Alligator mississippiensis: one gene and its partner. The protein of the gene in region 1 interacts with the protein of each later gene in a biochemical or structural test. Links are inferred from orthologs where the notes say so. Each region holds a gene or a part of one and is shown on either strand. Other genes may lie near its edges.

Region 1 (16,760 bases):
ACTTGGAAGAACTGGATGCCTTTAAGTCGGCAGGCCCAGATGAGCTCCATCCGAGGGTGCTGAAGGCACTGGCCGACATCATTGCAGAGCCACTGGCGGGAATATTCGAACGCTCGTGGCGCACGGGCCAAGTCCCGGAGGACTGGAAAAGGGCTAACGTGGTCCCCATTTTCAAAAAGGGGAGGAAGGAGGACCCGGGCAACTGTAGGCCGGTCAGTCTCACCTCCATCCTTGGTAAAGTCTTTGAAAAAATTATCAAGGCTCACATTTGCGACAGCCCGGCAGGACAAATTATGCTGAGGGGAAACCAGCACGGGTTTGTGGCGGGCAGATCGTGCCTGACCAACCTAGTCTCTTTCTATGACCAGGTTACGAAACGCCTGGACACAGGAGGAGGGGTGGATGTCGTATACTTAGACTTCAGGAAGGTCTTCGATACGGTATCCCACCCCATACTGGTGAACAAGTTAAGAGGCTGTGATGTGGATGACTGCACAGTCCGGTGGGTGGCGAATTGGCTAGAGGGTCGCACCCAGAGAGTCGTGGTGGATGGGTCGGTCTCGACCTGGAAGGGTGTGGGCAGTGGAGTCCCGCAGGGCTCGGTCCTTGGACCGATACTCTTTAATGTCTTCATCAGCGACTTGGACGAGGGAGTCAAATGTACTCTGTCCAAGTTTGCAGATGACACAAAGCTATGGGGAGAAGTGGACACGCCGGAGGGCAGGGAACAGCTGCAGGCAGACCTGGACAGGTTGGACAAGTGGGCAGAAAACAACAGGATGCAGTTCAACAAGGAGAAATGCAAAGTGCTGCACCTAGGGAGGAAAAATGTCCAGCACACCTACAGCCTAGGGAATGACCTGCTGGGTGGCACAGAGGTGGAAAGGGATCTTGGAGTCCTAGTGGACTCCAAGATGAACATGAGCCGGCAGTGTGACGAAGCCATCAGAAAAGCCAATGGCACTTTATCGTGCATCAGCAGATGCATGGCGAACAGATCCAAGGAGATGATACTTCCCCTCTATCGGGCGCTGGTCAGACCGCAGTTGGAGTACTGCGTGCAATTCTGGGTGCCGCACTTCAAGAGGGATGTGGATAACCTGGAGAGGGTCCAGAGAAGGGCAACTCGTATGGTTAAGGGCCTGCAGACCAAGCCCTATGAGGAGAGACTAGAGAACCTGGACCTTTTCAGCCTCCGCAGGAGAAGGTTGAGAGGCGACCTTGTGGCTGCCTATAAGTTCATCACAGGGGCACAGAAGGGAGTTGGTGAGGTTTTATTCACCAAGGCGCCCCCGGGGGTTACAAGAAATAATGGCCACAAGCTAGCAGAGAGCAGATTTAGACTGGACATTAGGAAGAACTTCTTCACAGTTCGAGTGGCCAAGGTCTGGAACGGGCTCCCAAGGGAGGTGGTGCTCTCCCCTACCCTGGGGGTCTTCAAGAGGAGGTTAGATATGAGTATCTAGCTGGGGTCATCTAGACCCAGCACTCTTTCCTGCCCAGGGCAGGGGGTCGGACTCGATGATCTATTGAGGTCCCTTCCGACCCTAACATCTATGAATCTATGAAGATGGCCTGCAGGTCTGTGAAACAGAAGAGACATGTTACCAGAAGGAGCAATGGGCTCAAGATGCAGCAAGGGAAGTTGAGGTTGGATATTAAGAAAAATTTTCTCACGAGGAGGGTGGTGAAGCACTGGAACAGTTACCCAGAGAGGTGGTGGACTCTCCATCCTTGGAAATTTTTAAGCCCTGGCTAGACCAAGCCTTGGCTGGGATGATGTAGTTGGGGCTGTCCTGCTTGGAGCAGGGGTTTGGACTGGATGTGACCTCCTGAGGTCCCGTCCACCCTCATTTTCTATGATTCTATGATATTGACTATTGAAGCCCATTACAGATTCCACTTTACAGATGGGAAAACAAAGGCAGGGAGAAGACAAGTGACTCACCCAGAGTGATATAGTGAGGCTGTGACACAGAGCTGTAGTTTGCCCACTGCATAGCATACTCCTCCTTCACATCGGTATTTAACATGAATAGAAATTTCCTTGAGAAAGTGCCACGAGGCAGGACGTTGTGATTGCATTGGAGAATCTCTTATGGGTATTTCCTGTACAAGTCCACCAAAGGCATCTGTTCGCAGCCCACACGAGGCTGTGGTTGGAAACAGACATTGATCTATCCACTGCACTGCACGAGGCTATAGAAAACAGGATGTACTGTATGCTGGGAAACACCACATATGCATGGGATTGAAATTTGTGTCCTAGTGTGTAGGTGGCAGAGTCGGTCAGGCTTTTGGGATTTCCTCGCCTCTGAGTGCTCGTCTGTGAAATCTCGTTAAACAGAGGAACAGTCTAGGGTGGTGCATGTGTCCCTGTGCGTGGCTAAGAAAAGGAGAAAAATCCTGCACCGCCACCCTTGCGAGGTCCGGAGGAGGGAGACCCTCCAGTCTGCCCCAGTGGATGCTCAGACAATCCTGACACAGCCTCTGTATACATGGGCGGATCTAGGATTTTAAGAAAGGGAGTGCAGAAGGTGAGGGGCATCGTCACATGTAAAAACACCCATTTTTCTTCAGTTATAAAGAAACTAGAAGCATTACTAATACACTGAAAGTGGAACAAGCCATCCAGGTGGCCAGGAGGTGAGACAGAAAGTGCTCCATGGGATGAGATGCGGCGTGGCCTGAATGAGGCAGGGCTCCACACTCGGAAAGCAGTGGATCATGGTGACATGTGCATGGCCTGCTGAATCCGTTTGTGGATGTTTCGCAAGGCCAATTTGAGAGCAACAGCTTGTCGTAAGTTTAATGGATCCAGGTGTTGTCTGAGTTGGAGTTCAAGTTTACAGCTTGCTGCTTTCTTCTTCCTCGCTTTGCTTCCCTCCTCTGGATCAAAGCCGCTTCTTGTTGAGCTGCCCCCATGCCCCAAGTTCCCCCCATACCAAACGGGATCCTGCACAATCAGGATCCAGCTTTCTATGTTGATGTTGAACGACTTCATATCATTTTTGCACATGTCGTGGTACAGCCGCAAAGGGCAACTCCACTTTCTCTTGAATCTCACTGCACAAAATAGTCTTGGGGATACCGTTTCTTCCCATTCTCCTGATATGGCTGATCCATCACAACCCCCTCTTCTTGATAGCAGCTTCTAAGCGTGTCAGTCCTGCGTGCTCCAGTACCTCTGTGTTTGGTATTCTGTCTTCCCAACTTTATTTTCAGGATGTTACGCAGACATCTCATATAGAAGCTGTTCAGTCTCTTGATGTGCCTAACATCTATCTCACATGTATCTTGATGGGCCTAGCATTTGGTCTCAAATATGTGTAGTGTATGTGGTCCTTGTTTCTGAACAATAAAGCAGGGATAACAGCAGACCAGTCTCATAGATTTGCATTTGCACCTTAGTTAATAGTTTGCTTTAACCCAAACATGTTTCTGTTTAGCTGCTTGTCTGATTCTGTTAGTCAAAATAACATGCATATTAAAATGCCCCACGAAATGAGTCGGGACACTACTAGCTGCAGAGCACTGGATTGTGCCCACCGTGTCTAAAGTGTGAATGGTGGGGTACACACTTACCCAGTCTGCCTGCAATCCATACGCTGGACTTGCTGTGTAGCGGCAGGGCTGTTCTGATATAGGAGGCGGATGGGAAAAGAAAAGAGGCCGCTGCAGAATAGGTCAGATCACACCCACGCAGAGCCTCTCCTCTCTCCTGCTGCAATAACATGGAAAGACAATTCAGCATAATACTTCTCCGAATCAGGGCCAGGGAGCTCCTGGTCCCTCTGGGCGGATGCGGCAGCCTCAAGTGTCTGTCGTGCACACATCAGAAATAAGGAATGTGCTCTGAACAGTGCGGGGGATTAACTGCTGGAACAAACTACCCTGGGGCAGACAGGGCTTCCTCAGCCAAGCCATCAAGCTGGGCTGCAGGGTGGACTGGGGGACTTTGCAGCTTGGAGGAGGCAGGGGATTCAATCCCGTCAGCTTTCAGAAATGACTTGTGTTCGCTTGGTTGAGGTGTAATTTTGTGCTCTCATCAGGCACCACAAAATGAACCTTCTGGTTGCTTTTATTTTGGAACAGCGACATCTCCTGCCCACTCTGGTCCATGACAAGAACATTATCTCCAGGTGACATTGCAGAGGGCTGCAGCCTCAGAAGCGCTGAGCCCGCTGATATCCATGAGGTTTGCGGGTGCTCGGTAGGTGCATCTACATGAGATGCTTACTGCGCAGTAACCTAAGAACACCAGGCAATAGTGTGCCGGTCAAAAACCATGCTAAGAAGCTACTGGACAGTGTTATCAGGCTACTGTGCAATAAGCGTCATGAAAAAACTGCACCGACATTACTGTGCAGTAACTATAGTTACTGCGTATTTAGTTAGTACCTCATTAAGCATGTACTGAACTACACGAGCAGTAATGAACATGTAGACGCGCCCAGTGTCTGTGAGAGACAAGCCCGCTCCACCCAGAGCAGGATGGGACCTTAGTTACTGTGGCCTTGCACAGCAAACTCCCTGCAGCACGTTTTGATTGGAGGGCTGAGACCCTGTGCCAGGATCTCAACCTGTGATCCCTCCCAGCATTGCACGCTTGGTCTTTAGACCCCACTCTGCAGCTGCTTCTCTTATCCTAGAAGTATCTCGGGCTGGGCATTTGGTGTAGTTACCTAAAAAAACAGCCGTTGCAAATCACCCTTCCCCAGTACGGGGTATGGGGCCTGCGCTAACACATTGTGAGACGGGACATTTGCGGCAATGCCCCAAAGGGGAAAAAAGGGGGTGGGGGAGAGGAAGGGGCAGGAAACTGTGATAATGAAGAACATAAAGAAGTTTGGGGGGGAAAATAACCATGATTTATCCCACTGCCCACTCCAAGCTGCAAAGTGCCCCGGTGAAGGGAAGCAAGCAGCAGCAAACAGCAGTTCCAGAAGCATCTCCACTTCCCGGGGCAAAGACCGGGCAAAGCAGATCCGGCAGGGACAGGACTTAATTGAGACTGCTACCATCTTCCACAAGGCCCCGCGCAACCATCAGAGAGCCACTGTTGCTGGAACCAAGTTGGGCTTTGAACAGGGATTTAATCATTCAAGTTGGTGAGCTCCATGCTCCTTCCCAATCCTTGCTGAGGCCAGATCTCCGTTGTCCTGGCTTTATTCTGCTTCCCCAGCAAACCTCACAGGGAATATCCGTATCTGAACTTTCTTTAGCTCCAGACTCCCTGCCATACACCACCACTTGCCCATTTAGAGCTAAATCCAGAGCAATTCATGCATTTAATTAGCTGATGCAACCGCTCTGCCTTGCACATGTGTATTTCTCTGGCATGTCAGGAGCTCTGCAAGTATTTTGTGGGAGTTTGTATCTAGATCCTCATACAACCCATCTAAGTCCCAACAAGCAGAAAGTACCCATCTTATCAAGGTCTAGTTTCAGCAGCTTTGCTTAGGAAGGTGAAAGATATAGAAAACAGAACAGATCAACACACAAACTAATGCAGCAGACTTCTCTGAAAAGTCGTGCTTGAGACTGAGATCATATTCCCCCCATAGCAAAGTCTCCTACTAAGCAGACAGCTCCATCTATATCTGAATTACTTGCGTGTCCCCCAGCATTCTTGCAGAAATAAACCTCCTCCACTAGGCTGGGGCTGCTATCTAGGCTGCCTACTCCAGGGGAAAAGTGGAAGTTGGCCCCACAAACCTGTTCTGTGGGAGAAAAAGGAAGTAGAAAGAGACCTTCCCCTTTACTGTCTGTGGTAACTTCCATTTTATGGCATCTTCTGTCGCACGGTGATATTTCTGCAGTCACACAAGGCCCAAATCCTGGTAGGTGCCACTGAGGTTCATGGGTCTGCTGAAGTGACTGAGGCAAGATCAAAATCAAGGCAAGCAGGATCTGACCCCTAAAAGTAGTCTGGGTCTGATTGTCCTGTACCAGCCCACACCTTGAGAAGTCATTTATGCCTGGGCAAAGCGATGCAAAGACGAGTATAATGCCTTACATGCACTTTCCACAGAGATAAAGTGCTCTGATTTCCACAGTGGAATCGGGTCATTCTGAACAGATCCGCTGTGCTGCTGAAGCGCTGCGCTGAGCAGGGAGGGAGGTGAACCTACGCTTCCTTGAATCGAGGCCTCAATAACCAGGTGGCAAAATACCGGACCCTACGTCTCTATTTCTTTCTTGCTCAGATCTTACAAAGTGCTGGCTACTTATAACTTCCATTCTTCATCCCTCACATGGGAGAGGGAAAGGCCTGGGACAGTCCCTGCTCCAAGGACTTCAACTTTTGTATGACAAAAATGGGGTCCGTATCTTCATCTTTGTGTGCTTTGGCGTTTTCGTCCATTCAGGAGCTCTTGGCCGTCACGGATGTTACCAGGGATCGCTATGTGGTCGAGTCCCCTTCGAGGACTGTTTGCATGGGAACCCAGGTCTCCCCTGTCCTAGGGCTTAAGTCATCTCCACCTTGCTTTTCTCTGGCCCAAGAAATCTGGAATTTCTTTTTTGCAAAGCAGCTCAGCCTGATCAGGAAAAGCAGTATATACAACAGGATGAGATAGGAAGCAGAGGAGGGTAGCATAAAGCACACAGGGACATCAACGAGGCAGAACATGACAACAAAAATGCAGAGCTAGAAAGGTCCTCAAGAGAGTATCCAGTCCAGGCCCCTACACTAGATCCAGTAGATCTAGGCATACATTGGCTGGGATACTGGGGTGTACACTGCTTAGCATGCACAAGTGGTTGGGTCCTTTGTTCCTATCTTCTTCGGAAAGGAAAAGTACTAGCAGCAGCATGTCCCCTAGCAGCCGGTTAGGGCGCTGGTTGGTTTCTGATTCAATTGAAAACCGCCAAGCCCTGGCTCACTAGCACCACAAGCATCTTTGAAGATCCCCAACTCACTCCTGTTCAGTGTGCAAGAACTAACAGGAAGCCTGGTGTGAGACTGTAGGCCTCACAGCACACTCATATTAACGATGTGACATGGGGATTTTTTGGAACCAGAATGGGTTTCAGGCTCTGATAGTTGCAATGCTGTGAGCACTAAGCTTGCGGAGGAAAGGACACAGTATTCAGTCAGCTGAAGCCCACACTGTGTTCGTAGATCTTCCCCTTCCAGCTCCTTTGCACTGTGTTTGACTGGGTCTTCTTTGAAGGTCTTTACAGTAACACATGAGGATGTTTTATTTTACAGCTTACGGGTTAAACCGTGGCAGAGGAAACCCAGCCTCTCTCCTGAGGTGCGACCATGCTCGGAACAGAACGATCAAGATCAAAAAGACCTCGATGATTTTGGAAAGAAACGAAGCAACAAAGACGAGAACTTCCTCTGCAGAGCTGCAGCGTTACCTCGCATCTCGGAGGTGGAGGGCAGGCTGCGCAAGCACGTTCCCACAGTTATTTCCAAGCTGGCTTCCACCGTGCAGTTTGCTGCGTCCACATCGGTCCTTCCTGATTGCCAAACCTGAAGGCACACCAAGGGCTTTTGGTCACCAGGCTCTTTCTGATGGCCGAAAGGATGCATTTTGACGTATATAGCACTTTGCACCCCAAAGACAGCGTGCTTGCTGTGAGGTTTAAATGGCGACAGAGTCACTGCTGTAAAAAGCATGCTCCTTCCGTGTCTACCACTAGCTCCCTTTTCTCCCCGAGATCAGTCCCAGCCGCTTGTCCACCATTTTAAGGCCTTTCACGACCCATCTCCGACTTAATCCTCCCATCTAACAGCGCTATTGAGGCACCGATCCTTGTCTCCCCTTCGTCATCCACCTCAGCCCTGACTCTGCATTTGTCAAATGTGCCAGCAAGTCACTTGGCACTGTTTTCCCAAGCTACCTAAGCGAGGGAAGATTCGCTTAGATATGAAGAAGTTTTTCTAATATCTTCATATCTAAACTTCCTCAATAGGAGGGTGGTGAAGTACTGGAACAGGGTCGATATCCATCCGTCGAGGTTTTTAAGACCTGGGTAGACAAAGCCTTGGCTGGGAAGATGTATTTAGCGGCGGTCCTACTCTTGAGCAAGGGGTTGGACTGGAGATGCCTCTGAGGAAGGTTTAAAAACACCCTGACACGTTGTTTGGGATGATGTAATTGGGGCTGGTCCTGCTCTGAACAGGGTGTTGCACTCGATGTCTATTGCCCTCATTGCCTACGAGACGTTTGGGAGCAACCGCGTGATGTTCGCGACCTCCTCGGTTGCACGCGCCTCCGTTCGCCGCATCCGCCCCGGCTTCTTGTCGCGATAGCAAGCGCTTTAGAAGAAAGACCACGTCTCGTCCGGGAGGAGAGCGGCGCTTCCCGCGCGCAGCCCCTTCGCGTCTCCGCGGTCTCTGGGTGCCGCCGGCCGCTGTTACGTAATAACGGCGCTACTTTTTTTTTGGGAGGGAAATTGCGGGACGGACGCTGTCGAGTCCTCGGGTGCCATCTGCTGGAGAAACGGAAAGAAAACGTCAGGCGAGCGATGGATTCGGTCGCACCCGGCAAGGAAAGAAACTTCTTTATGACGTCCTGCCGGTGTGCGGGGGGGGGGGGGGGGGGGGGGGGGCTGCGCGTGCTTATGGCGCTTCGCAAAAGAAAGGTGACCGCGTCCCGGCCACCACGGTGGACAGTGTCCTGCGTCACATGTGCTCACCACAGGGGGGGGGGTGTCTCCCTCCCCCACCATGAACCCCTGCCCCCCCACATACTTCCCCTCCTCCACTGGGGCACCCCCCCACCCCCATCCCCCCTGGAAATTGCCCCCCCACTCCCCCCTCAAGGTCTCTGCCCCTCCCCCCAACCCCAGGTAAGCCCCCCCCCACATACCTCCCCTCCCCCCCTCAGAAATAACCCCCCCATTCACCCTTCCCCCTCAAGGTCACTGCCCCTCCCCCCACCATAGAGACCCCCCCCCCCTTCCGGGAATCCCCCTCCCCCACATACCTCCCCTCAGAAATTGTCCCCCCATCACCCTTCAGCGGCTGTGGCCCCGCCCCGCCTCTTGGCCCCTCCCCCCGGCGCGGCCCGCTCTCCCCTCAGAGGCGGGCTCGCGGCCGCCATCTTGGAAACGGGCACGCGGCCTGCCGGGCTGCCCCCGGGGCGGGGCCGTGCGAGAGAGTATTGATAGGGCAATGGGGACGGGGAGGGGGGGGCGCTGCCCGCTTCCAAGATGGCGGCGGCCGCGTCAGGGAAGGGGCGGGGCGAGGCGCGCTACGGCGGCGGGGCGGGGTCAGCGCGGCTTGGCGGGAGCGGGAACCGCTCAGACCCGCGCACCCGGCCCGGCCTGAGACGCCGCCATGCACGTCATCAAGCGAGGTGCGCCCCCTCCCCCCCCCGCTAGACCCTGGGGGGGGGGGGGGGCGAGTGGGGCAGCCCGGGTCCCTGGGGGGCTGGGGGTGAATGGGGTGGGGGGTATCCCAGGGGGTTAACGGGGGTTGTGGGGGGTTCATGGGGGTTGGGGTGGGTGTCCTGATGGGGTCTGGGGGGAGGGGTATCCCAGGGGGTTAACGGGGGTTGTCCTGGGGGCTTAACAGGGGGTTGGGGGTGTCTTGGGGGGCTGATGGGGGTGGGGGTGCTGTCCTGATGGGGTCTGGGGGTGTCTTGGGGGGCTGATGGGGGTGGGGGGCTGTCCTGATGGGGTCTGGGGGTGTCTTGGGGGGCTGATGGGGGTGGGGGGCTGTCCTGATGGGGTCTGGGGGTGTCTTGGGGGGCTGATGGGGGTGGGGGGTTGTCCTGATGGGGTCTGGGGGTGTCTTGGGGGGCTGATGGGGGTGGGGGGCTGTCCTGATGGGGTCTGGGGGTGTCTTGGGGGGCTGATGGGGGTTGGGGTGCTGTCCTGATGGGGTCTGGGGGTGTCTTGGGGGGTTGATGGGGGTGGGGGGCAGTGTCTGGGGTGGGGGGGGGAGTTGTGGGGTGCCAGGGCATTGGACTGGTTCCAGGTAGTTGATGGGGTGGGGGGCACTGGGGTGGGGGGGTGTCACGCCGTGCTGCATTCGGAGCAGCGTGTGCTAGCGCCCGTCTGGGCGCGTGTCTGTCTCTTCCCCGGCGCCGCGCAGATGGACGCCACGAGCGCGTCATGTTCGACAAGATCACGTCCCGCATCCAGAAGCTCTGCTACGGGCTCAACGCCGACTTCGTCGATCCTGTGAGTCTGCTGGTCGTACCCCTCCCTCCATCCCTCCCTCCCGCGGTTGTTATAGACAATAATTTGCTGTTAGAAATTTGCCCCCTGGCTTTGCCTCGGTTAGCCTGCATGGAAATGGGTGGAAAGCACCTTATAAGCGACCGCGGTGCTGTGCCAGATTTGGGGGATCTTGTCGCGGTGCCTCGTGCCTGTCCGCCACATCTAACTGTTCGTCTCTAGAGCGCTGATCCTCAACCAGGACGCTGGGCCGTGACACGCTGGGTTAGCACGGCAGACACGACTCCCAAAATCACCCGGGAGATTTCAAACAGGAATCCGTAGCGTGAAAAACATCCCGCCCTGTTGTGGGCTTGCTGAGCTCTTTGCAACAGGAGAATCGCCCTTGTTTTTTGTCTGTAGTCAAAAACGACAAAGGAAAATGAAGAGCTGCCCTTTTCTGAGGGGTCTGAAAACATTTAGGACCAACTATTCTAATGGAAATAGGGGTCCAGAAAATGCCACCCCGAGGGTACCAGTGACAGATGTCACCTGGTTAAGGCAACCACCTTGTCCTTTCTTTCCTTTCGTAGCCCAATCCTTCCACATGTTTGCGTTTTGGCTTGTTCTCCTCCATAGGTACAAAGTCTGAGAGGATACATCTATGTTTCCCTGCTATAAATTCCTTCTCGTGGGTCCCTCAGATGCGGCTTGAAGTTTCTGGTGCTAAAAAGCAGAAAAACAAGTTCCCTGCTACTCCATTTCAAATGTCTTATTTCCGTTTGTTAAAATGGTGTAACGAGTGCTTTAACCTTTAAAAATGTGTTTTTAAACTCCTGCCGCATTTGCCTCCGTGAATATGTGGAAGAGAAGCCCTTGAATTCTGTTATTAAAGTAAAAGGTATACCCTTTTTTTCCCCCCGAACTGAACCACCCTCTTATTAAGATATGTGCTCTGTTCTGAGCAGTTTGACACTGAAAAGACACTGACCTGATTCGGCAAAGTGCTCTGCCCTGTACCTGTGAGATCTGTGGGACCGTGCGAGCCCTCCCACGTGGAGCAAATTGCAGAATTAGAGGCCCCAGATCAGAGTCTTTTTGGGCCATAAAGGTCTTGTCTTTATGTGCATCTGTAAAGCACCATCATAGTAGCGGTGCTGTAGTAGCAGTGAGGGGATAATGTTCTTCAGCTTTATTGAACAAAGCTTTGCAAAGAGGACAGAGCCTCATTGACTCCTTTGTACATACAGCCCAGGAAACAGCTGTGTGCAGAGGTGAGCTGACTTGATTGCAGTCGTGCAGCAACTTGTTGGCAAAGCTGGGAATTGGGAGTCGAAGTCTCCGGACTTCTGGCCTGGTGTCCATATGACTATTAATAATACTGAAATTAATTTTCCGTGACTTTTTTATTCTGAGGTAGCTCTGAAGTTCTTTGTCCTGAACCATGGTCCTGTTAGGTTGGGTTTGGGACAAACTACAGCAGAAGAATACCTGTGCCTCAAAGAACTTGCAGTCTAATTCAGGGTTTGAAAATGCCAGCCTGTCCTACCCAGGGCAAGTGAGCATTTCAAACCTGCAGAGGACAATTCTTGCACTAGATCACACTCGTATTCGACCTGATTCTGAATCCTGTCTCATAAGAACATACATAGTGCCATACTGGGTCAGACCACAGGGTCCACCTAGCTCACTATCCTGTGTCTCACCGTGACTAAGAGTGGACGCTAAGGGAAAGGGTATTTAGGCTGATTCTTTCCAGACTGATCTGTCCCCTGCCTCTTTCCCCCTACAGATTCCAGCATTCAGAGAAAGGGTTGCAGCTTTAAATATTGTACTTAATACCCTCTATCTAGGATGCTGGTCTTGGATAGTATCCACCACCAGCTGCCTTGGAAGAAAACACTCTAAAGATGTTTGTGTGTCTAAACTCTAAAGATGTTTTTATTTCTGTTGTTAACCTCCACATTTCTGATTTCCCCAGGCTCAGATCACCATGAAAGTGATCCAAGGTCTTTACAGCGGTGTTACCACAGTAGAGCTGGATACACTGGCTGCGGAGACGGCTGCGACCCTGACTACCAAACACCCCGACTATGCCATCCTGGCAGCAAGGATCGCAGTCTCCAACTTGCACAAAGAAACCAAGAAAGTGTTTAGTGGTGAGTGCATGTTTGAGAGTGCTTCGAAACAGCCTGTGCTCTGTTCATGAGGAGGGAGTCAGAAACGGGTTGGGAGTGTAAATATGGCAAACCATTCCTTAAAGTGATTTGGGCCTGGGATGGCCAGACCTCCTCCTCTTCTAGCCATAAAACCAAGATCCTGACGCACCATGGAGCTGCAGGACACAGCTTCTGAGATGCGCATGCCTTGGAGTCAAGAGCACTTGGCTTGTTAGCAGGGTTGCTTTGAAAAGATTATATTCAAGCATTTCTGTGTTAAAATCAGAATGCCTTCACTTTCCTTGGCTTTTTCCCTCACTTTCAAAAATAAATAAGGGTGAGAAGAAAATACATTTAAATCATTTATATTACTTGTAGTCTGGTGCTTTCTGATAATGGCTGAGATAAGCGGGGAGCTATCTAACTACTACTGGATACTTTGTTTGTCTAGAGGTTCTTTTTTAAAAGTAAATTATTTTGGGACCAGCAGCTTCTGAGTACTGGATATTCTTGCCACTAGACAGAGAGGACAATAACCAGGTTGATGTCTGTTAGATGGTGTGCATGCATTTATGGAGGGGGTGGGGGATTGCTAAATAGAATCATAGAAAATCCATGAGGATTGGAAGGGACCTCAGGAGGTCACATCTAGTGCAGCCCTCCTGCTCAAAGCAGGATCAGCCCCAACAACATCATCCCAGACAAGGCTTTGTCTACCCGGGTCTTCAAAACCTCCAAGGATGGAGGCTCCACCACCTCTCTGGGTAACCAGTGCTTCACCACTCTCCCAGTGAGAAGATTTTTTCCTAATATCTAACCTAAACTTCCCTTGCTGTAACTTGAGACCATTGCTTCTTGTATATTAAATACCTGTAATTAGTTTTAGACTGTACATATTTTTGGCTTTATTTTGACCGTCTGTTTGTATTTCCATTGCAGATGTGATGGACGATCTATACAACTATATAAACCCTCACAATGGCAAGCACTCCCCAATGATCTCCAAGGAAACGCTAGACATAGTCTTGGCCAACAAAGATGTATGTTGCACTTCATTGAATTTAAAGATCTGAAGAATCAGTAAACTAGTTTAAAAGGCTTAAAACAAAATAAACTGGGTTGATTTCTGGAACAAAAATCCCTTTATGCTGATGGAAATTAACATAGATGATGACTGCTGTATTTTGAAGGGTTTGTAGGGGAGGCCACTTCAGAGCTGCCCTTGAAGGATGCTTCCAGTGTTGCTATAAGCAGGATATCTGTTGTGGTTTTGGTATGGCTCTCATCACTCTGGGATTGGGGCATGTGGGATCTACAATTAGTTGGACAGAAAATGGCTTTTTAACTTAATAAAATAAGATTCCATCTTTTCATACAACAAACTTTCAAGGAAAGAGATGGTGTTTGGTCTCTATCTTCTGGCACAGCTCTAACCAACTCCATGAAACCAGAATTAGGGTGCAGTTCTCCCACCCCCTGCATTTCCTAGTATCCAGCTTGAGCTCTAACTGGAATGTAGGTGTATGGATGAGATGGGCCAGAAGGTAGTAGTTTGTCTTTAGAGAAATGTTATTAATGCCTGGCAAAAGAAATTGAGATTTTATGCTAAGAATGACTTCTCTAAATTTTTTTTCTGCCTGGTGCCTATATCTGTTCAGTTATGAGGCCAGAAGCAGAAAAATCAGGGGCACTGAACAATGAGAGCACTGTGGTATCAGTAATGTGAGACTGCAGGCATGATGAGCGGTACAGATGATCTCCTGATTAAATGATTAATCTGTCTCCATACTCTCTCTTCCTCAGCGCCTGAACTCTGCTATCATCTACGACAGAGATTTCTCCTACAACTACTTTGGCTTTAAGGTAAAGAGCAGGTTTCTTACAAGAGTGAATCTACGCCGTTGTTTATTTTCAAGCCATGTAACCACCGAAGAGTAAGACCCCGCAGAACCATCACTTCAGAAACTCAGCCCTGGGATAGATGAGACAGTGGGACTGTGGTAGAGACAACGTCCTGTATAAGGCAGTAGCCAAAGTGAATGAGTTGTGCCCTTTTCCTGGTTGTGCATTACAGTCTCAATGCAGTCAATATGGTGCCCCCCCTCAGTCCTTCGAGTATATGATTGGTTAGCATGGGGACAGAAGGGATTGACAGCAGAACCATTTCAGGAGGGAGCAAGCCTTCTGCCATAGTACACCCAAGAGTATGGTTGCTATCCTGTGCTGTGGGCAGCTGTCAAATGGAGCTCTGGGCAGTAACTCAGCTTTGCAGCATTTCTTTGTGCGTGCTGCCCTCTGTCCTGCTTCTGTTCCGCAGCGCTGCACTTGCATGTGAATCAGCCACTTCTTTTTGAATTACCTGGCAACAGGAGACAGGCCCAGCATAACCTGAAGCTACTGTGAGGGAATGTGGGGGAAGGGGTTTTAGTGGGGAGCATGTAACCGAGCAGCAGGCTGACGACAGTTGCACGCCTGAGCATCTATTTGTGATGACTCCAGAGCCTACTTGCCAAATGGCTTCTCTCCTATAACAGGAAAAATGCGGTTGTTCTTGATGACGAAATTCAGTTCTCTTGGCTGGGGTGACTGTAGTTGATCCCAGTTTAGGGCTGCAGCCCCTTTGGCTCCTGGCTGCCATGTGTAGTAAGACATGGTCAGTAGGATCTTGTGCAAAGCTGTCCACAGCCATCTGCTGCCATGTTAATGCTAAAAAAAATAACCAAAACCCAAATAGATCAGTTCTTAGCATTCTCCATTGCTCAGCACAGCCTCCTCTGCCTGCCTTATCACTCACTGGTGCCTTTTTCCATGCTGCTGCTGAGAGGATCCCACCCCAGCTCTGCCTTGTCTTCAGCTGTTTTGACAAGTACCTCTCTAAAACACTTCTAAGAGTGGCCCAATTTTATATTATTTCCAGCTGATGAACTTGCCTTTTCCCCCACTCCTCATTATAGAATGAACATGATTTGTGCCACCATTGCATTGTACATGTTCAGACAGTGCCCAACATTGGCCAACTGCTAGCACTCCTGTGACAAATGTAATGACGGGATTGGAAAAACCACCTGGAGGGGTGGAGCGGAGAACCAAGCACTCTTTCCCCCTAGCAAAACTGGGCTGAAATTAGGCAATAAAGCTCACCGTTCAGTCATTCCTTTACATGCATTCAGCTGGAGAGACTCCTCTAGGCAGGCATCTTGCTGACTTGCACTTAAAGTACCTCCTATGCTTGGGTTTGAATCGGGTAAAAGACGGAAGAGCAGAGTAGGCGTTAGCAGGTGTTGAAGTCTGGGGGCAGGAAGGCTGAGCTGCAGGTGTTTGGTTGGTCCCAGAACATGAGTTTTAATCAGTCAGGTTTTTAAATGGGGACCTAAACTATTGGTTACTGAAGGATTTTTCTTTTTCGTTTCTTTTTTATAAAGACTCTCGAGCGCTCCTATCTGCTGAAAATCAATTCAAAAGGTAAGAACTGGCTGTGGTTCCAATCTCCCCTCTGTGGAGAGTGGGATCAGAGCAGGTGGTGAAATGGGGTCAGGCCATGTCCTTGCTGCTTGCTGAATACTCAGCTGTACGTTGGCCTTCAAAGGCAGCACCCACACAGCACCCTTATAGTTACCTTGTCAGCATTATAAAGCTTTGCCTTTCCCTCCTTGCTTTGCGCATGCACATATCCTTCCTGAGCACCTGTTGGTAAAATCAGTTAGAATCGCTTTTTTCATAGCTGTAAGGATACTTGCAACTGCACTAAGAATGCAGCACTGTTACCAGCTGCTAAAACCACTTGAGTTTGGTTTGTTTTGTTTTAAATAATGTCCGTGGGGTTTCAGCGAGGGACACTTCACTGATGCAGCATTTGGGCCCCGTTGCCATGCCATACTTGAGATCTTAGGGCACACAAGGCACTGTTCTAGCAGGCTGATAGCGACTCGCCACTTGATGTGTGGGAATTTTTAAATTGACATGGCTACCGCACCATCTTATGCTGCAAATTCCATTGGCATCAAGGTGGTGAGAAGTTTATTATTATATGTAGAATCTAGAAAGTGCCTAGCCTTGGAGTCTGACAAATTTAATATAGATTACAAAAAACTTGTAAACCTACAGCTAGTGATTCAGCTTGCCAAGAACTTTTTCCAACTACTCAGTTGGTCTAATAAAAGATATTGCATCTACTCAAAGAACCTTGCCTTGGTAGTGTAAGTCACTTACTTCTTTGGCATAACCCATGCCTGTCCAGGTGGCTTTAAATGACACACTGTTCTATCTCTTTTTTTTTTCTTCTCCCCTTCTACTTTCTAGTTGCAGAGCGTCCCCAGCACATGCTAATGAGGGTCTCTGTGGGCATCCACAAAAACGACATTGATGCCTCAATTGAAACCTACAATCTCTTGTCTGAAAAGTGGTTTACCCACGCCTCTCCCACTTTATTCAACGCGGGCACCAACCGGCCTCAGCTCTCCAGGTACCTCAGGGTGTCCA
Region 2 (15,892 bases), about 450 Mb from region 1:
TAAATCTTTGTTAGTGTGAAGTCACTTGGTCTCTAAGGTGCCACCTTGCCCTGCCTTATTCATAAAGCTTGGGGTGATCCTGCCTTGAAGCATATGCTTAACTCCTTTGTCATCACTGTTAGTAAATGTGGTACATAGTAAACTTCATTTAGCTCTTACCTCATCTCTACTGATGAGCTCATTAGAAAAAGTGAGTCCAGGCATTAATCCTCTTTTCTTCAACCAAAAAATGGATGCAAAAGAGCCAGAAAAGAAGATTCCTTCCACTGCTGCAAAAGCTACTACACGTTCTCCTGTCAGATGAAAAGTTCAGTTTACATTTCATGCCAAAGTGAAAATTTACCGTTATTATACCTCCAAAGCAATACATTGGCCTGTACCAACTTAGATAATTTTTTTTCATTCACAGATGGAAACCATAGCCATGTTAGTGTTATGTAGTTTTCTCTGGGACTGACGCATTCTACACCTTTACTTCATTAGAAAAACTGGGGTGTCGTTATAGTTGCAAGGGTCCAGGAAATATCACCAAAAATTGTTGTTCTTGCATATTTCATAGGAGCAAGCAGAGTTGGAAAAGATGTTAGAGGAACCTTTGAGCACAAAGTGGCTGTTTCCAGATCTGGGAAAGAGACAAAACTTTCTACCCAAAACTTGTTGAGAGAGATTTAAACTCCACAGTTGCTCTAATAAAAATTCAACAAAACCCCTTGTTTTTTCACTAAGACAGATAGTATTTAAAATAATCTACCTGGGTAAATAGCAATTTCACTGTGTGAAAAACCTGTGAAACTGAAGCTCAGACCTTTCCTCCCCTCCCCACGATGTGCATAGCTGACAACTCAGTGTTGAGGTGGGCCAAACTGCTACCATGCATAGTGTTTGTGGTCTCTAGTGATTACACATCCTCATCCTGCAAGTGAGAACCTCAACAGGCATGAAAGCATCCAACTAACTTTTGAGGAAAGATGTATTCCTGGGGAAAGACGTGACAAGAAAGTAGAGGGAAGCTCAAGAACCCATACAAAACATGAATTAAATCCTTCAAGGAAGCAAAAAAAATCACCCTTTCTAGACTGGTTGAGGAATAAAGCTAGACCCCCTGCAGAGCAGCTGCTGAATACACCAGCAGCTATGGCAGGGTTGTCACAAAGGAGCAAAATGGGAGTCAAAATGCCAAAAAAAAAATAAAAACCAAACAAAAAAATCCCTCAAACACTCACAAAAGGAGCTGCTTCAGTGGCACATTAGAAGGAACAAAGGTAATTTAATCTAATCTAATCTTGATAAAGCTACTTTTAAGATTTAGAGCAATTATTCACCCTCAAGATTAAAAAAAATCTAGAAGAGAGCAACAGTAGTGACCAGAGGTCTGGGAAACAACTTACCAGGAAAGACTAAAACAAAAAACAAAAACAAAAAACAAACAAACAAAACCGCTAACATTTAGTCCTGGTAAGAGAAGACCAAGGAGGGATTTGATAGCCCCCAAATAACTTAAGGGTGATTATATAGGTGAAGAAGATGGACTATTCTGTGGTTGCAGGGCACAGGACTAGAAAGAAATTTCTCACTATGCAAGCAAGTTAGCCACTGAAGCAGGTTTACCCAGAGCCTGTGGGCATCTCCATCCTTAGAAGTTTTTAAAAGCAGCTTAGACAAACACTTGACAAGGATGCCGACGCCAGGGATGATCCTGCTTTGGCCAGGATGGCTGGACTAGATGACCCTCAGAGTTCCCTTCCAGCACCATTTATCTATGATTGCCCAAAAGCCTGTCTGACATCTCTCCCGATGACACAGGTGGTCCAATAAAAGATAGCACAAAAAACCAACTTTTTGGCTATTTTCTTGACCTTCATGGCTACACTATCCCTCTAGTACAGGGGGTTTCAACTTATTTAAAAAAAAAAGTGTACCCCAGTGGCTCCATGTCCAGCCACCAGGGGCAGTGTAGGGTGGTGGGTGGCAGCAGCAGCAGCCACCACATGCTAGCTTCTTTCCCCATGTCCAGCTGGTACCTGTGCAGGCCAGAGGACAGAGGAGCGCCGCTGCCCTCATCCCTGTTCCTGGGAGGCGGCAGTGTGGAATGATGGGTGGCAAGCGCTCTGTCCCCAGCCGTCCGTCTACACATACCTCCTAGGGCCTTCAAGTACCCCTGGGGGTACACATACCCTGTTGACAACCCCTGCTTGGAGGAAACATCACTACTGAAGGCTTGCATGGGAATGACATTCAATATCCAGGAAATGCATACTCCAAAACTGCACTCACCGTATGTTGCTTTTCTGTCTCCAATCCAACGCAAAGCCCAATCAGCTTTCTTTTTAACACATGGCAGAGTTTCAATAGCATTGAAAAGAAATTCCCTGAAGAAAGTGTATAGTACATTAGACAGAAGTCTACATGGCAGACTATTCAATAAGCATTTGCTAAGAGTTGTCATTAAAAGTGCTGTCACTGAAGCAGCTTTAACTGCCTGCAGCTGATGTATTTTTAAATGTAAAGACCTTGGGGGCTGAGATTTTTGTACCACTCCAACTCTGTCATCCTGGCCGATCAACTGAGCACATTTACCCAGGGTTTTCAATGCAACAGTCAGTCCTCACACAAGGCAGCAATATGGCTTTGAAATTAGCCTTAAAATTGTGGGGGATTTTGTTTTTGTTGTTGCTGTGGGGTTTTGTTTTGTTGTTTTTTTTAATTGCTCAATCTGTAATACTTTTTAGACTGATAGTCTTGGAGCTAACCCATTTCCACATCACCAGTTTTCAAAAAGGAACTTGTTCTTTGGATGGCAGTTTTTAAGCTTTATGTACATGTTGCTGTCAAAAAGGAATGTGTGCTTTGTTGCATTAGAAACTACTGGTTTAAAAATAGTTCAGCAAAGTGTCACATATTTCAGTTACCTTGAAAGGCAGTACCAAAGTGGAGATTTAGTCAAAAGAGCTGTTGTAGTTCTCAAAGAAACGCAGTACTGGGTCATTTATCTGTTCACTGGCTAATGCAATGAAGGCTTAGTCCTCTACAGCATAAACAAAATAGTTTGAACGTTCTACCTACATCTTCAACTTACCATCGCTTGTCATTTATACTTGACAAATTCTGTTTGCATAATGTTTTGCCTTCCTGCTCTACCACCAGATTGTTCTCAACCATGTTTACCAATGCTTTGACCATCCTAACTTACTATCTTCCAAAAAAATCAGACCTCTCCATCTTTTCTTGCCTCCACTTAAAATAATTAAGCCTTTTACGATATATGATACTAACCTGTCTTTTGGATCTTTTATGTAAGTGTCGATAAGCAGACTGTACATTTCTGAATGAATGTTTTCCATGGCAATCTGGAAGCCATAAAAACAGCGAGCTTCTGTGATCTGCACTTCTTGGCTAAAACGCTCCACCTAAAGGAGAAACCGAATAATTAAACATTTATAGAAATAACAACCAACTACAGGTTGCAACAGAGCTATGAATCCACACAAGCATATTTAAGTAAGTCACGATAACTAGGAATAAGACAGGATAGTTCAATATTCAGAACTTATTCTGGTAACACAAGTTAGAATACCAGCATTCCTTTGGCTCTGTGTCCCAGAAAAGTGCCTCCATTTTAAAAAGGAGGAGATCTGGAGACTGAGTGATCTGCCTAAAAGCCAAACTAGAATTAGTGACCGAATGAAGAATAAAACCCAATCTACTCCAACCCTTTGTATTCTCTTTATAAAAAAAAGAAAAACAAAAACTCTGCTTTGTACTCATCAGGGAAGTTTACTGCCAAAAATGCAGATTCTAGTCTAAGGAACAATGCTGGCTTTAGGGAAAAAACAAGGCCTCCTTCCAAAAAAAGCAAACAAACCCAGAAGTGTTTAATAGGTTTTGGAGCAGAGCAGTCCGTTAGTAAACATCTTATGTTGTTATCTGGTTAGCTCCACGCTAGCCCAACTGCTTACGATTTAAACAGGACTGCTCTTCATACACTCACCAAGTTTTCATTTACAATGCCATCACTTGCTGCAAAGAAGGCTAGGACATGCGATATGAAGTATTTCTCCTCAGGCTTGAGGGACTCCCAGTGCTGAATATCTTTTGAAAGATCCACCTAACAAACAAAAAAAACCAAACAGGCAGCAATTCATCATTGTCATGATTGGAAAATATAGGGTTTGGGGTTTAATATATTGCATTAGACCCATTAGGTCCCATTCTCAGTCTTCCTTCAACCTATAATCCCCGCCCCCAAAAAACAGTTATGAAATTAGAGGTGTGATCCTAGAACAGGGGTGGGCAATTATTTCAGTTGCATGGCCACCTAATGAGTTTTGGTAAGCTGTCAAAGGCTGCATAAATATTTCAGACGATATCATTTTAACAAGTTAACAGATCAGATCCTAAATACCAAACATCTACTGCACTTTAATTTTAATTAAAAAAAAATATTTTTGCCTTGACTTATTATGCAATCACCTCTATGTGTACTAAAAGTATAGCTCAAAAACAGTCTCACTCTTGTATGTGGGGGGGGGTATGCAGGTGCCTGTGAAGGGAGGGGGGGAGGGGTGTACAAGTTGTAGCAGTGTTGGTCTACAAGCAAGAAGGAATAAGAACTCTTGGTAGAGGTGATATCTTATTAGACCAGCTGGATATTTGCAAAAAGTATTTGCAAGCTTTCAGGGACATGTGAGGGAGTAGGCATGTGGGGCGAGTGTAGGGTGTGGAGGGCATGCAACAGAGCTCGTCCAGACAGGTTGCAGACACGTCACCCTCCCCTCCCCCACTAGGCTGCCTCAGTGGCACTCTGCATGGGGCTAAGCCCCACCTACTCCTGCCCAGGGCAGCCCATGCCACATTCCCACCTGCCAAATAGCACTGCCAAGGTCTGTGTGCGCAGCTTCCCAGCAGGGCTGCTCCCAGTGCTACTTGCCCCCTATGTCCAGCAGCTCTTCCTCCTGCTGCACTGCTCCAAACAGTGAGGCACCACACATGTAGCCAGCAAGGGGGAAGTTACAGCTCCCATGCCAACATGTGGGACTATAACTCCAGGTTGCCTTCCATCTAGTCAGCTGCCTAGCAGGGTGCTCATTGTGCCAGGCAATTGAAGTAGATGGAAGGCAGCTAGGAGATGAAGCCCTACACACTGGGGCAGGAGCCACCAGGCTGCAGCTTCCCCCACACCTGGCTGGGCATCTGCTGCCCAGCATGCATCCCCACAAAATGGTACAGGGGCAGGTGGAAGAGGAGATAGGTGGGAAATCAAGCAGCACCCAGGCAGCTGCAGCTACACCAGGAGCAGCTCTGTGGGTGAAACTGTGCACACTGGCTAGGATGGTGCTGCCTGGTGGGTGGGGGGGAAGGAATGGGCAGGACTCACCCCACACAGAGGGCCGCAGGGGTGGGGGGCAGCCAGGCTGGATACAACTGAATTGGTGGATGCCTGTCCATGGGCAGGATCCAATAAGTTGACAGGCCAGATCCAGCCTGTAGGCTGTATTTTATTCACCCCTGCCCTAGAGCCATAGCAAGTTGCAATGAAGTTTCCAACTACCTTAAATTTTTTTCACTTGAGAAGTGCTCAGGTGCTGGTGTCTAGGCATGTGTATATGTACAGATGTAACTAGACACCAGGTGCATGCACCTGAGCGCTTCTCAAATGAAAAATTCAAGGCAGCCAGCTGAGTGCAAGAAGCGAACCCTGGAAGGAACAGCAACAGGGTAGCCTCCTTTGCTTGATACCCCACAGATCAAAGTATTGGAGACCTCCAAGCCCCTGCGGCCCCCCGGGTTTTGCCATGGGGATCATTTTAAAGCCACAGGGCTACTTTAAAGCCATTGTCTGGTCCCTGGGTAGGTGCTATCAGGAGCCCAGTTGTGTTGAGTGGGGATCCCGGCTGCCGCCCCCACTGCCGGGAGCAGCTGCCTGATGCCCCGGGCCGCACTCACCTCCTCGGCGGTCCAGAAGGAGGCCTCAGCCTTCTTGTACATCTGCCACACGTCGTGGTACTGCACGGGGAAGATGACGAAGCGGCGCGGATTCTCCCGCAACAGCGGCTCGTCTTCCGGCCGGTGCGGGACGGGCTCCGGCGGCGCCTGCAGGACACGCGGGGAAGGTCACGGGGGGCCGTGGCAGCGAGAAGTGGCGGGAAAACAGCACGTGGGGGGGGGGGTTGGCGGGAACGGAGCACGTGTGGGGAGGGGGCGCACTCACCGGCTTGGCGTCCGCGTCCTGGAAGATCTTCCGCGCCGCGCGGCTGGCCAGGATCCGCGTGCTGCTCAACGTCGGTGGCTGCGGGGAGAGAAGGGGAAACGGGGCATGAGCAGGGCGCGGGCGGTGGCAGCGGCTCCGAAGCCGGCTGGCCTGGGGCAGGCACTCACCGTGTTCTCCTTGTCGCTCAGCGCCAGGTGCTTCATGGGCGACAGGCGCGGCTGGTCGTTGCGGGCCGAGAGCGGGGCGCGGGCGGGCTGCATCATGATGCTAGTGCTGCTGGCGGCGGCTGTGACAGGGCGCAGGGCAGGAACTGGCGCCGGCGGCCGAGACCCTTTATATCCCCCTTCGAACTTGGCGCCCGAACGCCGCGCCCACCAATGGCAGCGCGAGCCGGCCTCAGAGCTGCGCTCCCATTGGTCCGAGTGGCCGCCGGGCCACGCCCTCCATTGTACATGAACGCGGGAAGAGGGGCCAAGCCCGTCCCCTCCGCGCTGCCATTGGCCGGAGCTGCTGGCCTGGCCACGCCCCCTGCACAGAACAACCGCGGGAGCTGCAAGCGGCCCCTTCCCGCGCGAATTCTGGCGCGTCGCCTCTCGGGATGGCCCCTCCCCCACGGCCAGGCCCGCAGCGCGGAGCTTGGGAGGGGTCCACGTCCCAGTCCCGGTCCCCAGCACACGGGGATTAGACGGCGCCTGGGGCTTGCGATGCCACAAGCTGGTAGCGGGGTCGGGTGCAGAGACACAACTCCAGGCAAACCCGGAGATTGCACACAGGAATCCGTGTTCTGCCCATCCGTCTGCTGTGGGCTTTCTGGGGGTCTTGGCAACAGAAGAATTCATCAAGTCCTAGAGAAGTCGGGTGGAGGGGACCTCCAGAGCTCATCCAGTCTGGCCCCCTGCCTGAGGCAACATCACCGCCATCCCAGCCATCCTATAAAGTCATAATCTAAACTCTGCTCAGCCCTGACACAACACAAACTAATGCCCTCACCTGCTGCAGGTAAAGCAGGGGAACCCCTGGCAGCCAAAATCCTACTTCTATTTATTTCAATCTAGTTGAAGTATTTCAGTGTATTTCATGTGTTTCAGCACATGCTCAAAAGAGATCTGGGGTACAGACCCCTGCCCCCCCCCCTCTGAATTAAGGCTAAAAAAACCCCAAAACCCACAGTCTGTGCCAGTCTGACTATGGGGTAAAATCTTTCTGCCCCCAAATACAGTAAGTGGTCTGACCATGAGCAGAGGGGCAAGACCATCTAGCCAGGAACCTCTGGCTTTGGTCCCAGGAGGAGCATTGGCACGCCCCACAGTCCCCAGCCTTGGCTGTAGCCAACACCCAGTGCCTCTGAGGGAGGCTTGAAAACATCCCCACACATGTAGCAGAAAGGGGGCTGGGGGAGGGCAGGGCAAAGTTCAGAAGTAGAGGAGATACCCACAGTAAAATATAGGCATAGCTATGCCTCGATCAGCTCTGGCCCTGTGGCTGTCCAATTTCTTGAAGACCTTCAGTGACAGAATCCATAGGCGATGCGTTGGGGGGGGGGGGGACATGTGCCCCCCCTGAGATTGGCTGCTGCCAGCTTCTGTGGGTGATCACCACTCACCACCCCATTCCCTCCCCCCTCGCCGCCGATGCTACTGCCTACAAATGATGCCCCCCTGTCTCAGGAGGCACCAGTCGTTCATGGGAGAATCAACAACTTCTCTGGGCAGGCTATTCCAATGTCTTGCTGTTCTAATACTCTAGTATTTTTCTGAAGTCAAAAAAGAGTGACAACTAGGAGCTGGCATTTTCTGAGAGTGCCCTGGGTCTGAAACCACAGGATTATACAAAAATAGGGCCAGAAGGGGCCTTATGAGGTCACCTACTCCAGGCCCCTGCTCAAGGCAAGAGCTGATTCTATTCTGTGGCAATGATTCCCACTGATAAACACAGGCTGTGTAAGAAGAGGTTTCCTTTTATATGCTTCAGAACTCCTACCTCCCCATTGAATGCCCTTCTGTTCTTTGTAAAGGAAAATGAGAGACCCTGCTTGAGGCCGTGCACAATTGTTGCCAGCTCTTGTGCATTCTTTGCACACGAATTTGGCAGGGCAGGAGCAGGTCTCCCACAGTAGAAGTTCCAGCCACACCTAAATGTCAGCGGTGCTTGGGAGGAAACAGCCTCTCACAGCAGCCAACACAGCTCCTGCAGGAAGTACTCTCTCCCTGCCTTCAAGAGGCCACAATATAAGCACAAAGGAAAAGAAAGAATCCTCTAATCCTTCACACTCCAGTAAGCACAGGAATGGGACCTAGTGTAGGAAGGCGGGGAGGACATAGTATATTGCTTCCCCCTTCCCAGCCTGGGGAAAAGGTGAGGGTGAAGAGCCCCAAGAGCTGCTGGGAGACAACACCAATGTGTGGTTTGGCCCTCTTATAGCAGGGACAAAAAACCCCTTATTTAGGAGCACTAAAAACAGTAATTAATTATCACACACAGGAGCAGCAGGGAGGCTTCAAAAATCACTATGCAGATGAATATATGTTTTTTTTAAACAAACCTCACTGACTGGGGGGAGGACTAACTCAGGATTTTTGAACCTTTGGAATTGACAAAAAATGTACTTTTGTTTTGCTTTTTTTCCAAAGCTATCATATCCTTTCTTGTTCATCGTTTCTCCAGCCTACAATCCTAAAGACTCCTCTCCCAGCTCCTATTGAAATCTCTTCATAAGTTTCATGATTTTTGTTCCTGGTTTCTGGATCACTTCTATTACAATTACATCCTTTTTTTTTTAACTAGGACTGACTACAGAATACTATATGAAAAGGTGGCAGTGAGAGAAGAGATGTATGTACTGGCATCAATTAGAATATATTTAATTAGTAGATGGTTCAGAATCAGCAGTCTAGAAGTGTGTGTGGGTGGTTGCAAAAAAGAAAAACCTTCAGAGTGAATGTTACTGAAGCAGGAATGTCCAAAGCCTTGTCAAGATGGGCACGTTTTACGGGTTTAACTTAAATTTGCTTTTAAACTACTACAACTGAATCAGTGCTGTTCCTGTAATGAATTATGATTTAAAGAGTAGATCAAGTCAGTCTTTTTTTTCATTTAAATTTGTTCCCAATTAACTCAAGCTAAAACAATAAAAGCCCTCCTTATATCATCCTTATATCCCTAGATTACACAAGGGATTTGTAATGTTTTAACTATATTGTTTTAAATATATATTTGAAAAGCCTTGCTTACATGAGGAAATGTACTCGGATAATTATATCCCTACAGTTATATGGCTGTGACTGCCCAGGCACATATTTTTATTCCAGCTAAGAATGTCCATGTAGGGAGTTATACTGGTATAATTATAGCAGAATAATTATACTGTACATATCCTCATGTAGGCAAGCCCTTTATGTTATACCTGTGTAATATTTCCCCTGCAGAAAAGACCCGATTGATATGCACACGGCGTTCTGTACTATCATTTCAGGCTGGGAACTGCTACATATATTCCACCAGTGTAAATATAGTGCAGCAGGTGTACCACTAAAATTATACCAGTCGTTTCTTCACATAGACACATACTGATATACCAGAACAACTTTCCCCACAAAGATGAGGCCTGGCTGAGGTACACACAGCCTGAAATAGTTCACAGAACTGTTTTCCTTATTTTAGTTGGGGGTTAGCTCAAGACCTAATTTAATATAAACAGTGGCATCCATTTCACACCCAACAAAGTATGCCAAAGAGGAAGAGAGAATTAACAGCTTACATCTTCCAAAGACTTAAGCAAGTGCTTAACTTCATCCTAGAGGGTCTAAAAGTAGATTCCCTATGTGTTATAGATGTGGAAAAGAGGGAACAGCATAAATAGTGCGTCATGGGCTGAATCAAGAATCTGTAGCCACCCACCCTACACAGAAGGATATGCCCAAATTGCAACAGAGTCTGTTAATCCTAGATTGGCCACATCAGCCGTCTTCAGATTCACAGATAAAACAATCATGGAAATCAATCATCCTTGAGACTGCAAGGGATTGCTGAAGAAGAAGATAGACCTGCTTTGATCTTTGCAGGATCAGGGCATCTACTCCAAATTTCTTTTTAAATTTTGGTATCAAAAGTTGGGTTTATGCTGGAGCATGGAAGAAAATCACTATTCTCCTCCCTCCCATCTGATTGCTGTTTCCGGTGGGAAGACTTGTTTTGGTGGAAGATCATCTGTGTATATACACACCACTTTCACATATCCCTCCCCACCCCCTTTTTTTTTTTTTTAAACAGACAGCTGCTAGAAAGGGAAAAAGACCTGAAAATAGTTAGAAAGAAATAAAGAACTGAAGGCAACTATCAATGGAGGTTTCTCAGAAGCAAGGGAGTGTGACACTGTGGAAGTTAAGGATTAAAGGGTAGAATGAGCAAGTGATCACAAGCAGAAGAAAACGACAGCCAGAGAAGCGGCCAGAGCATAAACTGTAGTTGGAAAGGTCCCAACTGCAGAGCTTTGCAGAGCCTGGAAGGCTGCAGACAAGACCCTTGTTGCCACACAATGTTCTACTAGCAGAACTACGTCAGCTAAGGGTGTCCTGGAGCCAATATAACTTCACCAGCAAAACCCGCAGTGCAGATACAGCCTCAGTGTGGATGTACAGAGCTTCTACACAGGGAGAACTCCTGTAGCTGTGGCAGCAGAAAATCTCCCATCTGCTAAAAGACCCACACAGTAAACTGCCTCAGTACCACTGCTGTAGCTGAAGCAGTAGAACTTCCCTAATATAGGCAAAGCCAAGGAATTTTATATCAATGCAGAGCAAGAGTAATAAATATTGATGGTAATGTATTATTATTAAACTAGCAAACTGCCCATCAAGAATGATAGAGGAAAGGGAGCTGGCAGGGAAGAAGCCCCATGTCCATAGTTTCATAGTTGGTAGGGTTGGAAGGGACCTGAGCAGATCATCAAGTCCGACCCCCTGCCATGGGCAGGAAAGAATGCTGGGGTCAAAAGACCCTGGCAAGGTGTCTATCTAGCCTCCTTTTAAAGACCCCCAGGGTAGGAGCAAGCACCACTTCCCTTGGAAGTTGGTTCCAGATCCTAACTGTCCTGACAGTGAAGTAGTGCCTCCTGATATCTAGCCTGAATCTACTCCATCAACTATCTCCATCTATCTCCATCAACTTATGGCCATTATTCCTTGTTACTCCCAGTAGTGCTCGGGGAACAGGGACTCTCCCATTGCCTGCTGGCCTCCCTTGGCCAGTTTATAGACAGCCACCAGATCCCCTCTCAGCCTTCTCTTGTGAAGGCTGAACAGGTTCAGGTCCGTAGCCTCTCCTCATAGGGCCTGCCCTGCTGCCCCCTGACCATGCGAGTGGCCCTCCTCTGGACCCTCTCCATGTTGTCCACATCCCTCCTGAAGTGCAGCACCCAGAACTGAATGCAGTACTCCAACTGCAGCCTGACCAACGTCGTATAGAGGGGGAGGATCACCTTGGACCTGCCTGTGATGCATCTGTGGATGCATGACAAGGTACAGTTAGCCTTCCTGACTGCATCCCTAATTGGCGGCCCATGTTCATCTTGGAGTCAATAGTGACTCCAAGATCCTTTTCTGCCTCTGTGCCGACAAGAAGGGAGTTCCCCAGCCTGTAGGTATGCTGCTGGCTCTTTCTCCCTCGGTGCAGTAACCTGCACTATTGAATCCCATCTTATTCTCATCTGCCACCCCTGTAACCTGTCCAGATCCAATTGCAGCCTGTCCCTCCCTTCTAGTGTGCCCACTTCTCCCCACATCTTAGTTTCATCTGCAAATTTGAACAAGGTGCTTTTTGGGTGCCACTTCGGGTCTGACCCCACTCCCCCTATTACCCCTCCTTCCCCATGCTTCAGGTCTGACCCTGCTCCACCCCCTTCCCCACCCTCCGCCCTGTTTTGGCAGAATATTTTTAACATTATGGATTTCTCTTTGAAAAACCTGGGTTTATCTTGTGAATCATGTTTACACACCTAACAGTATTAACATTGCATGGCACCATCCCACACTCTTGAAAGGACAGTTCAACTAGTGTGAGACACTATTACAGCTGGTACATGCTATGCACTAGGCAGCATATTTTTTCAGGTGCATGCTTCTTTTCTTCCTTTAGGGAAAATTTAAGCATACTTTTTCAGTTCTTATACAACTACATAAGACAACCTAGCCTAGAGCTTAAAATTGAATTCAAGCTTCTGCTGGCCCTTCTCCTTTCTTTACATAACCCAGTAAAATTATCACAATCACCAGTTTACCAATGAACTTAGAAGCTTGTGAAGCATTGTTTTACAAAATATATATTGCCTTTGTTATTCAAAAAGTGACATTTTCCTCTCTCCGACTCCCCCTCCTCCCCCAACTCAAAAGAGTTTAGTCATGACAACTTGCAGTATTAAAAATGAATAACCTTTGAGAGGATGTGGTCTGTCACTGTTTCCAAATATGATGAAAGAGATGCGTCAATCCTCCAACAAACGTCCCAAATGAACATAATTATAGATAGATTCAGAGAAGACTTAGATAGATAGATAGATAGATAGATAGATAGATAGATAGATAGATAGATAGATAGATAGATAGATAGATAGATATGGACTTTGGGATTTAAGAGGTATTAGAGTGATACAGTAGCAAGGTTAAACATACATACATGTGTGTTTTTGATCACTGAAATGACATATGTCAGGAAACGCCCTCCATTGTGTCACCAAAGGGTTACAGCGGGTTACCAAAGGGTTACAGCAGCAATGAATTTGGCTCATACAGCCCTCAGTTTGTTAAAATCAAGAATGTGCTTAAGTGCTTAATGCTGACAATAAGTATCTATATGGGTAGAATGGCTTAAACATTACTGGCTTCCATCTGACCTAAATACAGGTTCTTAAGCACTTTCTTAACATAGACCCACAAGCCTTAGGCCCAATTCTGCATTGGCTTGTGTGACTGCTACGAAGTGCTCAGAATCCTAAATGCCCAAAGAAGTCAATAGGAGTAGAGAGCCCTCAGTACTCACAGGGTTATGTCTATAACCATACACCCTTTATGACACCTCTTTCACAATACTGGAGCCACCAGACAAATAGTTTAAGAAACAAAGGGAGCTAAGTGAGCAGCTGGATCCATGGACAGCGGGGCCTCAGCCTTTTTACACATAAAACAGTTTGAAGAAAGCGAAAGAGAGCCAACAGCTTGATTTTTGTAGTCATGACAAGCAACAGGGTCACTAGGCAGCTTGGTATCGGTGGTGAAACCAAAGAGTCATCCCTTCCCATCCCTCCCCCCAGCCCAGCAAGTACATGACTTCAGTTTTAATTGAAGTTTGTGGTTACAATATTCCCCGCCCCCCCAAGCCCAGTGATTCCAGGAATCTCAAACCAATTTACAATTTCACATGAGAATATTGCATAACATATACACAGCCTCACCCTTTTCACACTATCTACTGCTACCCACTGCAGTGCATGCAGCTCTAACCCACCCTGCCACCTTTGTGCCAGGAAGCTTACAGACAGTCTTAGCTACATCCAAAGCATTGCTGCTTGCCATCACTCATTGGCTGGCACACCTCCAAAATCAAGGGCATCAAGGGCAATAGTTTCCCAAACTCTGGACAGCAGTGAGGAGGAAAACAAACAACCCAGTTATGGGGGAGGACTGCAGCCTCAGTGATGAGGTTACAGTGCTGCCACAGTCTGCAATTGTCAGAGCTGTCTCTGCAGGAGAATAAAAGTGCAAGCTCTATCTATACACAGGACTCTCCTGCTGCTTTAGTTATGGTGATGGGAGTCAACGAGAGCCACTTCCATGTGGCGATCCCTGGTAATATCTCTGATGGCCAAGAGCTCCCACATGGATAAAAACACCGAAGCACACCAAGATTAAGATGCTGACACTTTTTGTCATACAAAAAAAGTTATGGTGATGGTGCTATGGCAGAAGGCAGGGTAGCCATGCACCTTATATACTAACTAAATAAGCTACATATAGAGCATAAGCTTTCACGAACTCAAGTTCACTTCATCAGATGTGATGCTATGGCAACCCAGTCCCCTGCTATTGATGCACTGCTGCTGGCAGGAGTTTTTTTCTGCTGCAATAGCTATACCAGCTCCCCCAAATGACAGCCATGGTGCTGACAAAACTACCTTCTGCTAGAAGAGCAAAGCCGGGTACGAGATGTGGTCTTTTCACAGCCTGAGCCAACAGAGCTTGGTTTTTATTGAATTCAGTCAGACAGTGCAGTCAGACAATGCAGTCTAGTGTTTATATGCTGAAGGGAAAGTCTGCATCGAAGTGTATTCTCTGTCATGTTCCAAGACCACGGAGATCACAAAGCTCACAGAATCGTGCCAAATGCCACCTAGGGCTGCTATGTCCCCATAATGCAGACACAGCTCCATCCATAAGACTACCTATTGTGTAGTTCTCAAGGGGGAGAAGACTTTCATTTTAATCTTGACCTAGAGCACTTACTCTCTGTTCAGTGCAACCACATGCTATGGCCAGTAGCATAAATCACAGGGAAAGCCAGGTCAGCAGCCCCAGGGAATGCCTTTGAATGGAGGAAGGGGCCATAAAAATAGCAGCCACCACAGCAGTGACTGGACATGCCACCACCACCACCAGTATCACGGCAGCCAGCACTGCCCTGGGCACAGCCACTACGCAAGGTGCAAAGCAGCTCCCCACCACCTTTGACTATGACAAACATTTTCAAATGAAGGCTACCATCTGTGGCTAGAACCAGACATTTCAGAAGAATTCAGCTTTCATTTGGACACCAAAGTAAATGCTCAGCCCACAGGGACACAGAGCCCTTTTTGAAAAATCTGGCAATAAATGTCAGCACAGGAGCTGCCAGGGGGCTTGCACTTTTACAGATCCATATTTTCTCTGTTCAGTAGCTAAGCTTCTCTGGAAATCTGGCCACAAACGTGAGTGCTGAGCTCTTGAACATCTGGTCCTATGTTCTGCCTCTGTAAATCATTTTACAGTTCCCCTATTCATAGGGATTCAGGTGTGCAGAGTTGTGAAAACAGCAGCAGCCTGGGAGTGCAAGACTGAGGCAGCTGTGAGGTGTTGTATAACTAAGTAGCCCTCAGAAAATGGTCTGTGGAGATCTTTCAGATTGCCTGCATCCGTGCTTTATCAGACTGATTTGGAAGCAGTCAGTCCTCTATCTTCAAGAAGCAACACTTTGCTAGATGCAGATGAAGTTCAGTGCTGATTAAGTCCAAGTAATTCATTTAGGAGGGAAAGATACAAATGACTCATAGACCTTGCAGGGTCCTAAATAAATGGCATCTGTTTAAAAAATGAGACCTGGGCATAACTGTGGAGCATTCAGTAAAGCTCTTGCTTCAGAACAAACTGATCGTCACAAAAAGCCAACAAGATGTCAAGCCTGATCTACACACAGGGTTTCTCCTATTTTGACAAGGATATGATTTTTTTTTAAACTAAACACTTATACCAATGCAACTCCTGCAAGTCCCTTTCTGATTCAGGAATACAGTTTGCCAAAATATGTGGCCAAGTCCACATTCTTGTGGGGAGGGTTGTATTTCTATTATATCAGTACAGCTGAGTGGTAAAACTAAGTTTAAACAAGGCTACAGGAGGAGACAAACATGATAGACAGATTAGCTCATTTCTGTCTGGTGTG

What was found.
Region 2: the proteins of RRM1 (region 1) and RRM2 form a complex in vitro, tested with the Homo sapiens proteins (3 studies listed by BioGRID and IntAct). The link is inferred for Alligator mississippiensis from reciprocal best matches to the Homo sapiens genes RRM1 and RRM2.

What each region holds. Positions count from the first base shown.
Region 1 is NC_081824.1:481,569,623-481,586,382, forward strand, and holds the start of RRM1 (ribonucleoside-diphosphate reductase large subunit), read left to right. Parts: upstream 1-9,207; 5' UTR 9,208-9,298; coding exon 9,299-9,317; intron 9,318-10,057; coding exon 10,058-10,146; intron 10,147-12,103; coding exon 12,104-12,281; intron 12,282-13,220; coding exon 13,221-13,321; intron 13,322-14,084; coding exon 14,085-14,144; intron 14,145-15,703; coding exon 15,704-15,743; intron 15,744-16,580; coding exon 16,581-16,743; intron 16,744-16,760. UniProt on the Homo sapiens protein: Provides the precursors necessary for DNA synthesis. Catalyzes the biosynthesis of deoxyribonucleotides from the corresponding ribonucleotides.
Region 2 is NC_081824.1:30,485,559-30,501,450, forward strand, and holds the start of RRM2 (ribonucleoside-diphosphate reductase subunit M2), read right to left. Parts: upstream 6,525-15,892; 5' UTR 6,472-6,524; coding exon 6,376-6,471; intron 6,287-6,375; coding exon 6,209-6,286; intron 6,091-6,208; coding exon 5,944-6,090; intron 4,106-5,943; coding exon 3,989-4,105; intron 3,408-3,988; coding exon 3,274-3,407; intron 2,370-3,273; coding exon 2,275-2,369; intron 294-2,274; coding exon 160-293; intron 1-159. UniProt on the Homo sapiens protein: Provides the precursors necessary for DNA synthesis. Catalyzes the biosynthesis of deoxyribonucleotides from the corresponding ribonucleotides. Inhibits Wnt signaling.